Sus scrofa: one gene and its partner. The protein of the gene in region 2 purifies or fractionates together with the protein of the main gene of each other region. This does not show direct contact. Links are inferred from orthologs where the notes say so. Each region holds a gene or a part of one and is shown on either strand. Other genes may lie near its edges.

What was found.
Region 1: the proteins of DCAF1 (region 2) and COPS6 purify together in Homo sapiens (affinity purification with mass spectrometry; 7 studies listed by BioGRID and IntAct, with this or other methods). This does not show direct contact. The link is inferred for Sus scrofa from reciprocal best matches to the Homo sapiens genes DCAF1 and COPS6.

Annotation. Positions count from the first base shown.
Region 1 is NC_010445.4:8,001,263-8,005,501, forward strand, and holds the start of COPS6 (COP9 signalosome complex subunit 6), read left to right. Parts: upstream 1-1,439; 5' UTR 1,440-1,478; coding exon 1,479-1,542; intron 1,543-1,754; coding exon 1,755-1,880; intron 1,881-2,090; coding exon 2,091-2,222; intron 2,223-2,838; coding exon 2,839-2,927; intron 2,928-3,024; coding exon 3,025-3,087; intron 3,088-3,396; coding exon 3,397-3,444; intron 3,445-3,520; coding exon 3,521-3,635; intron 3,636-3,723; coding exon 3,724-3,816; intron 3,817-3,913; coding exon 3,914-4,014; intron 4,015-4,121; coding exon 4,122-4,239. UniProt on the Homo sapiens protein: Component of the COP9 signalosome complex (CSN), a complex involved in various cellular and developmental processes.
Region 2 is NC_010455.5:33,701,994-33,706,016, forward strand, and holds part of DCAF1 (protein VPRBP), read right to left. Parts: intron 3,331-4,023; coding exon 3,161-3,330; intron 1-3,160. UniProt on the Homo sapiens protein: Acts both as a substrate recognition component of E3 ubiquitin-protein ligase complexes and as an atypical serine/threonine-protein kinase, playing key roles in various processes such as cell cycle, telomerase regulation and histone modification.

The DNA of each region.
Region 1 (4,239 bases), on a different chromosome or scaffold from region 2:
CCTCTTTCTTTATTCTTTCCTTTGTTTTTTGTGTTTGCTTGTTGCTTTGGAGAGGAACGCTTTCTTAACTTCCCTTTGGCCAGGAGATCTCCCTCCCTGCAGGATTTCTCAGGCCTTTACTTTGAGAGTTGCTGGTCGTTTAATTTCCCTTTATGCAGGCTCTTAAATGGAGAGATAGCTTAATTCGCACCAGTCACTATTATCACCAGAAAACATCTCTGGGCAGCAGAGTAGGCTCCGCAGGTAAAGGTACAGGTCTCTACCTGCTTTTTAGGAGCTAACACTTGGGTGTGTTACAGACACACCTAAAGAACCAGCCAAATTGTAGGGGCGACAAGACAGGGTAAAGGCAGTGTACACAACTTGCTCGGGTGTAGGGGTGGGGAGAGGGCTGGAGTGGGCTAGGTTTGCCGGAGGTGGTTTTTTGTTTTTTCTTTTTAGGGCCGCACCCTTGGCATATGGAAGTTCCCAAGCAAGGGGTCGAATCCGAGCTGCAGCTGCTGGCCTATGCCACAGCCAATGTCAGATCTGAGCCCAATCCGTGACCTCTGTTGCAGCTTGTGGCAACGTTGTATCCTTAACCCACTGAGCAAGTCCAGGTATCGAACCCACATCCTCATTGATACTAGTTGGGTTCTTAACCTGCTGACCACAACGGGAACTCCCAGAAGTGAGTTTTGAAAGACTAACGGAGACGGAGGGTAGAGGGAAGTTGGGAGGGGTTAGAAAATGCCAGGGATGTTCTCAGTGCTGTAGGTAATGAGGTGGAAGGAGGAAAGAAAGGATGTGTAGACCAAGGCACTCAGGACCAGGCTCCACTGGCAAACCATTCATTCACTCAAAAATCATTTATGGAGTTCCCCTGTGGCTCAGCGGGATTTGAACTTTTGTGGCTCTGATTACAGCTGTGGCGTGAGTTCCGTCCCTGGTGCGAGTACTCCTGCATGCTGTGAATGCGGCCCGAAAAAGAAATCATTTAGGTGCCCATATGTCAGGTAGTTTTGATCACGTGTTACAGTGATAAAGGCGACAGAACGCCCTTCGGTGGGGATGAGTGAGACGTGTGCAAGGAACAGACACGAGAGCCAATGTGGCTGAAGCACGGCGATCAAAGGGCAGAAAAGCAGAGGCCAGGGCTGGCTGGCGGGCAGGGGTCTGATCTTACAGGGTCTTGCAGGTGGTTAGGAGTGTGGCTTTTACTCTGAGGGCAACAACATGAAGTTTCATTCATGCTGCAGCAGCCTTACAAAGTAGGCAGTCTAATCCCAGTATACTTTAGGACGATCAGGGTGCGGTTAAGTAAGTTGTTCAAGGTCAGAGGCAGGCGAGAGGGCTACTAAGACCTGCCGGCTCTCCCCGACCCAGGGCTGCCTGCGCGGGTCTGGGCAGGCGCGCGCCACGGCCGCACTGAGCATGCGCTGCTGCCTACGGAAGCCGGCAGGGAGGGGGCGGGGCCGACACTGGCGGGCGCGGGGGAAATGGCGGCGGCGGCTGCGGCGAACGGGACCGGAGGGAGCAGCGGGATGGAGGTGGATGCAGCAGGTAACCGACCGGGAGGGAGCGGCTTCTGGAGACGCCCTTGGGGCGCGTCAAGGCCTTCCTGGACTCCCGGGGAAGTCGGGAGGGCGGGTCAGCGGCGCGTTCCCTGGGATAACTTGCGGGAGGGATGTATGGCCCGGCTCTGCTGGCTTCCCCTCCCATCTCCCGGGGGGAACGTGGGACCCGGACTCTCACCCTCTCTTCCAACTGCTTAGTCGTCCCCAGCGTGATGGCCTCCGGAGTGACTGGCAGTGTTTCAGTCGCCCTTCACCCCCTCGTCATTCTCAACATCTCAGACCATTGGATTCGCATGCGCTCCCAGGAGGGGCGGCCTATGCAGGGTGAGTGTTCGGCGTAATTCTCTGGCCTTCTTTTCCTGGTCATCTCCCCCAAACGGTGGTCCTTCCCTTTCCTTTGCTGAAGCCAATTCTTCCGCCGCAAACCACCCGTTTCCCTAGTACTGGGTTCACTTGACCTCAGACCCTCAGGCTATACTGATTTAACTAAGTTTCAGGATTCTTTACCCTCACCTCTTGTGTCCTCTCCTCCAGTGATTGGGGCTCTGATCGGGAAGCAGGAGGGCCGAAATATCGAGGTGATGAACTCCTTTGAGCTGCTGTCCCACACCGTGGAAGAGAAGATTATCATTGACAAGGAATATTATTACACCAAGGAGGAGCAGTGTGAGAGGGGAATAGAGGTGGGGGAGAGGAGTGGGAGTTAAAAAAAGAAAGAAAATCAGAATAGGGAAGGTGGAGAGGGTTGGGGGGAAAAAAATAAACAGGAGATGAGCAGAATGGAGGCCAAGTGACGAGAAGGTAGCTGTAGAGATCTTTAAAAAAGAACATATTTGGGAGTTCCCGTCGTGGCTCAGTGGTTAACGAATCCGACTAGGAACCATGAGGTTGCGGGTTCGATCCCTGGCCTTGTTCAATGGGTTAAGGATCCAGTGTTGCCATGAACAGTGGTGTAGGTCGCAGGTGCAGCTCGGATCCTGCATTGCTGTGGCTGTGGTGTAGGCCGACGGACACAGCTCCAATTGGACCCCTAGCCTGGGAACCTCCATGTGCTGCGGGAGCGGCCCTAGAAATGGAAAAAAGACCAAAAAAAAAAAAAAAAAAGAACATATTTGGTTACTTCCCACAAAGTAAGGAGAAGATAGAAGAGATGACTTACTCTAAACTGAGCCGGGATGGGATGGGGAGAAGCTGGTTAAAATCCACCAGGAGCTTCAAATTAAAGAAGCGATATTTAAAAAAAAAAAAAAAATACTCTGTGCTCTGGCCCTTTCCTCCTCAGTTAAACAGGTGTTCAAGGAGCTGGAGTTTCTGGGTTGGTATACCACAGGGGGACCGCCTGACCCCTCTGATATCCACGTCCATAAGCAGGTATACACACTTCCGTTTGCACGTTGGGGCGGAGGACAGAGGATGAGCGGGAGAAAAATGGGCCCTGGCACTCAGGTGCATCTGCCCCCTCTTCCAGGTGTGCGAGATAATTGAGAGCCCTTTGTTTCTTAAGTTGAACCCTATGACTAAGCACACAGATGTGAGTAATACTGAGCCCGTGGCTACTTTGTCCTGCTTGTCCATTGCTATGCCTACCCAGATTTTAATTCTCATCCTGTTTTTTACTGTATCGCCTCTGTTGAATTGACTCTCCCTTCTCTTTACCAGCTGAGACTTTGGGTGTCATTTAACCTCTAAACTGCATTTCCCCCATGTACTAAAATGGGATAATTCCTACTTGTAACTTGGGGACATAGAAAAACGGAATGCGAAAGGGCCAAGCCTGGTTTGGGGCCCTTCAGGTACGTGTGCTGTTACTAAGAGCTCTTCGCCCATCTCCTCTTTACAGCTTCCGGTCAGCGTCTTTGAGTCTGTTATAGATATCATCAATGGAGAGGTAATGCCATACCCTTCAACTCTCAGACCCTGCTCCCGGTGTTTCCTGCTTTTGACTCTCTCTCTGTGCCCTGTAGGCCACGATGCTTTTTGCTGAGCTGACCTATACCCTGGCCACAGAGGAGGCTGAACGCATTGGTGTAGATCATGTGGCCCGAATGACAGCAACAGGCAGCGGAGAGAACTCCACTGGTAATGCAGGCTGGAGGGGTTTCCTTCGCAGCGGGGGGTGGGACGTGTTGGCCCCATGCCTTCTCAGCCTTGGCCTGACCCTGTGTAGTGGCGGAACACCTGATTGCGCAGCACAGCGCCATCAAGATGCTGCACAGCCGCGTCAAGCTCATCTTGGAGTATGTCAAGGCCTCTGAAGCAGGTAGGACAGGTGTCCCCCTGACACTTGAACCACTTTTTCTCTCCTTCCTGGGGAAGCAACAGTATCACATTAATGCAGCCCTTTGCTGTGCCTTTAGGAGAGGTCCCCTTTAACCATGAGATCCTGCGGGAGGCTTATGCTCTGTGTCACTGCCTCCCAGTGCTCAGCACTGATAAGTTCAAGACAGACTTTTATGATGTGAGTATAAAGCCCAGGATCAGGAGGGTGGGGCTCATGCCACCATTTCTGCATGCAGGACATTGGAGCCAGAGCCCCTGGGAAACTGGTTCTTTGTTTCCTTGCAGCAATGCAATGACGTGGGACTCATGGCCTACCTAGGCACCATCACCAAAACGTGCAATACCATGAACCAGTTCGTGAACAAGTTCAACGTCCTCTATGACCGACAAGGCATCGGCAGGC
Region 2 (4,023 bases):
AACACAAAACAATAGGATCACATGTGCTAAATTATGGTACACTCATATGATGAACTACTTTGCAGCTAATGACAATTATTTTCAAAGAACTCAAAAAAACAAAAAAAAGATTCAAAAATACATTAATGAAATAAAAAAATAAGATATAAAATTTTAAATCCAACAACACCAAGTATTGACAAAAAGGTATAAAAATGAAAACACTCATAGACTGCTGCTGGAGGAAGAAAATAGTATGAGCATTTTCCAAGCAATCTGGCAGCATCCACCGAAGACGAAACATGGACACACTATAACCCAGACTATACACATTATATATTCAAGAGATTCCAAAAAGAGGTTCCTGATACCATTCATTTGATGGGAAAAAAAACAGACACCAAATATCCATCAATGGGAGAATAAACTATAGTACAGAAACACAAAACTTCAGGTAAATATCAACACAAATAAACACATAACAATGGCTATGGTGTAACGGAATGGGCAGCAGCTTGGGAGCACTGGAACGCAGGTTCAATCCCCAGCCTGAAAGAGGAGTTTAAGGATCTGGCATCGCTGCAGCTGTGGCATAGGTTAAAACTGCAGCTTAGATCTGATCCCTGACCGGAGAACTCCATATGCCGTGGAGCAGCCAAAAAAAAAGTGACTGTATGCCTAAAATTTATATTTTAAAATAAATAAAAATAAGGGTGAAAAAAGCAAGTTGCAAAAGACACATATAGGATAATATTTATATAACTTTAAAACATATGAAAGAATACTATATTATTATTTACACACCTACATGTATGTATAGCATAACATCAATGGAGAGAACATACACCAAATTCAGAAGACCAGTCACTCTAGGGAGGCAGAAAAAGGAAAGGAACTGAAAAAGAAGCAAATACAGAAATATGCCAACCCTGGGTATGAGGCAGTTGTTGTATAATTCTCTGTACCTTGATGTATTTTGAGCTATTTCATTTAAAAGATGAATCTGGTTAAATACTATAATCTCAATTATGTATATTTATATACATTATGAAAAAAGACAACTGAAATTAACAGTGGCTAAAAATATTTTTCATTTCTAAGGTTCTATATATTCTAAGCAAAACAAGTATTTGATTTGGGGGGGCGGGGGGGAGTCACACTCAAGGCATGTGGAAATTCCCAGGCCAGCGATCGAACCTGACACACAGCAGCGACCCCAACTGCTGCAGTGACAACCCTGGATCCTTAACCTGCTGTGCCACAGGAGAACTCCCTAAATTTTTTTTTTTTTTTGTCTTTTTGCTATTTCTTGGGCCGCTCCCGCGGCATATGGAGGTTCCCAGGTAAGGGGTCAAATCGGAGCTGTAGCCGCTGGCCTATGCCAGAGCCACAGCAACGCGGGATCCGAGCCACATCTGCAACCTACACCACAGCTCACGGCAACGCCGGATCGTCAACCCACTGAGCAAGGGCAGGGACCGAACCCGCAACCTCATGGTTCCTAGTCGGATTCGTTAACCACTGCGCCACGACGGGAACTCCTAATTTTATTTTTAAAAATAAGCTTGTAGGAGTTCCCTGGTGGCCTAACAGTTGGTATTTGGCACTGTCACAGCTGTAGCTCAGATTCAATCCCTGCCCCAAGAACTTCTGCATGCATGGGTGTGTGTGGCCCAAAAAAAAAAAAAAAGAGGACACTTTTTTCATTTTTGACAATCCTGCAACATATGGAGTTCCCAGATCTGACCACAGCTGTAGCAACACCGGATCCTTTAACCCACTGTGACAGGCTGGGGATCGAACTTGTGTCCTGGCAATTCAGAGATGCTGACAATCCCATTGTACCACAGGGGGAACTCCTAAAGTCTATTTTCATAATAACACTAAGATGTTATTTTTCTTTCTCACTCTCATTCTCTCATGAGTGTATAGGAGACCTTTCCAGAGCCTGTATCATGTGTGATGTCACGAAAGATTGAATACAGAAAGAGATATGAGATTTTAAGCCAGATATTTTAAAAACTTGCTGAAATCATCTGGTTTTATTTAGAGAAACTTTTCATTAAAAAGTGTTAATAAGGGAGTGCCCGTTGTGGCTCAGTGGTTAACAAACCCGACTAGGATCCATGAAAATTCAGGTTCAATCCCTGGCCTCACTCAGTGGATTAAGGATCAGCATTGCCGTGACCTATGGTGTAGGTCACAGACACGGCTCAGATCTGTGACGTTGCTGTGGCTGTGGCGCAGGCCAGTGGCTACAGCTCCAATTCAACCCCTAGCCTGGGAACCTCCAAATGCCGCAAGTATGGCCCTAAAAGACCAAAAAAAAAAAAAATGCTAATAAGCAATGGGTTCAGATTTTTAAATAATTCATAAATATTTTTACATTTTGTTTTAATTTCTGATACGTTAAATATTAATCGATCTAATATAAAAACAAAAGCTTTTGGGGGTTCTAATAATTTTTAATACAGTAAAGGGATCCTGAGACCAGAAAGTTTGAAAATGGCCACTCCAAAGTATTCTCGTAGATTTGATAACCTGGGACTTAGCAAATAAGCTATATGTACCCTAAACAAGACCCTCTTGTTTTTATGGTAGTGGATGGATAAGGAACGGAGGTCAAGAACCACGGGTTTTAAACTTCATTACTATCTTCCCTTCAGACTCCATCTTTTCCAAAATACAGTTTTAATCCTTTTTACATCGTCCTCAATCTCCTGATTGCATTAACTGTTTTTTCTGAGCCTTGTCCTGCTTTGCTCTGTTTTTAACAGAATGGTAAAAATCATAAGAGCAAAAAATACAGTTTTACGTGTAGATAAGATAAATATTACATATAGCTGTCAAGCACTAGAGACATTTAAAGTCTAAACACCAAAGAATACTGGGCGCCAGTCTCAAGATAGGACTTCAACCCCACCTCTGCAGCTAAAATATATAATCTTATATAACATTTTCTAAGAGTACAGATGTTGATCTCTGCCTATTGTGCAGTATTTATTAAAGCCAAGACCAACTACTCTCTAAATTACAAATGATATGAAGATGCTTAATCTAGTTTCTCAGATTCAAGCCCAAAATTTCATTCAACAAAGATTTGCTACACTATGTGAAAACCAACATTAACTTTAGCAAAAAGCAGAATCTAACTTCATTGGAAACCTTTCTCTGGTCCCACCTTGCATAATAGGTCTTCCAATTGCAGGCAATAGAAATAAGCTGCAGTAAGAGTTGGACACAAGAAAGTTTGAGGAAGACTTCAGCTGGTTCCCAATACAGCTGTGCTGGGCCATATTCTATCAAAAACTCCATCATTTCCACAATCTGTTCATGAGTATACGAACATGCCTAAAAGGAGAGATATATATTATTAAAGTATATTATTATTAAAGAATTTTATCAATCTGCTTTATCTTCCCCAGCACAGCTCAATGGCCAACTTTTACTTTTTTTTTTAAGGGCCACACCCATGGCATATGCAGGTTCCCAGGCTAGGGGTTCAATTGGAACTGTAGCCACCAGCCTACACCACAGCCACAGCAATGCAGGATCCAAGCCACATCTGCGACCTACACCACAGCTCACGACAACGCCAGATCCTAAACCCACTGAGCGAGGCCAGGGATCAAACCCACAACCTCATGGTTCCTAGTCAGATTAGTTTCCGCTGTGCCATGACAGCAACTCCCCAACAGGTTTTAATAATAAAGCTAAATAATTTTAAGAATTTTCTTTTTGTTTTGTTTAGGGCTACACCTGAGGCATATGGAAGTTGCCAGGCTAGGGGTCAAATCAGAGCTGTAGCTGCCAGCCTCACCACAGCCAGAGCAAGGAGGGATACAAGCCACATCTGTGACCTATACCACAGCTCACGGCAATGCAGGATCTTTAACCCAAATTAGCGAGGCCAGGGATCAAACACATGTCCTCATGGATACTACTCAGGTTCATAACTGTTGAGCCACGATGGGAACTCCAATAACAGTTTTCAAATCCTACAATTCTTCAGTCCATAGCCCACATATGAAATAATGAATATAT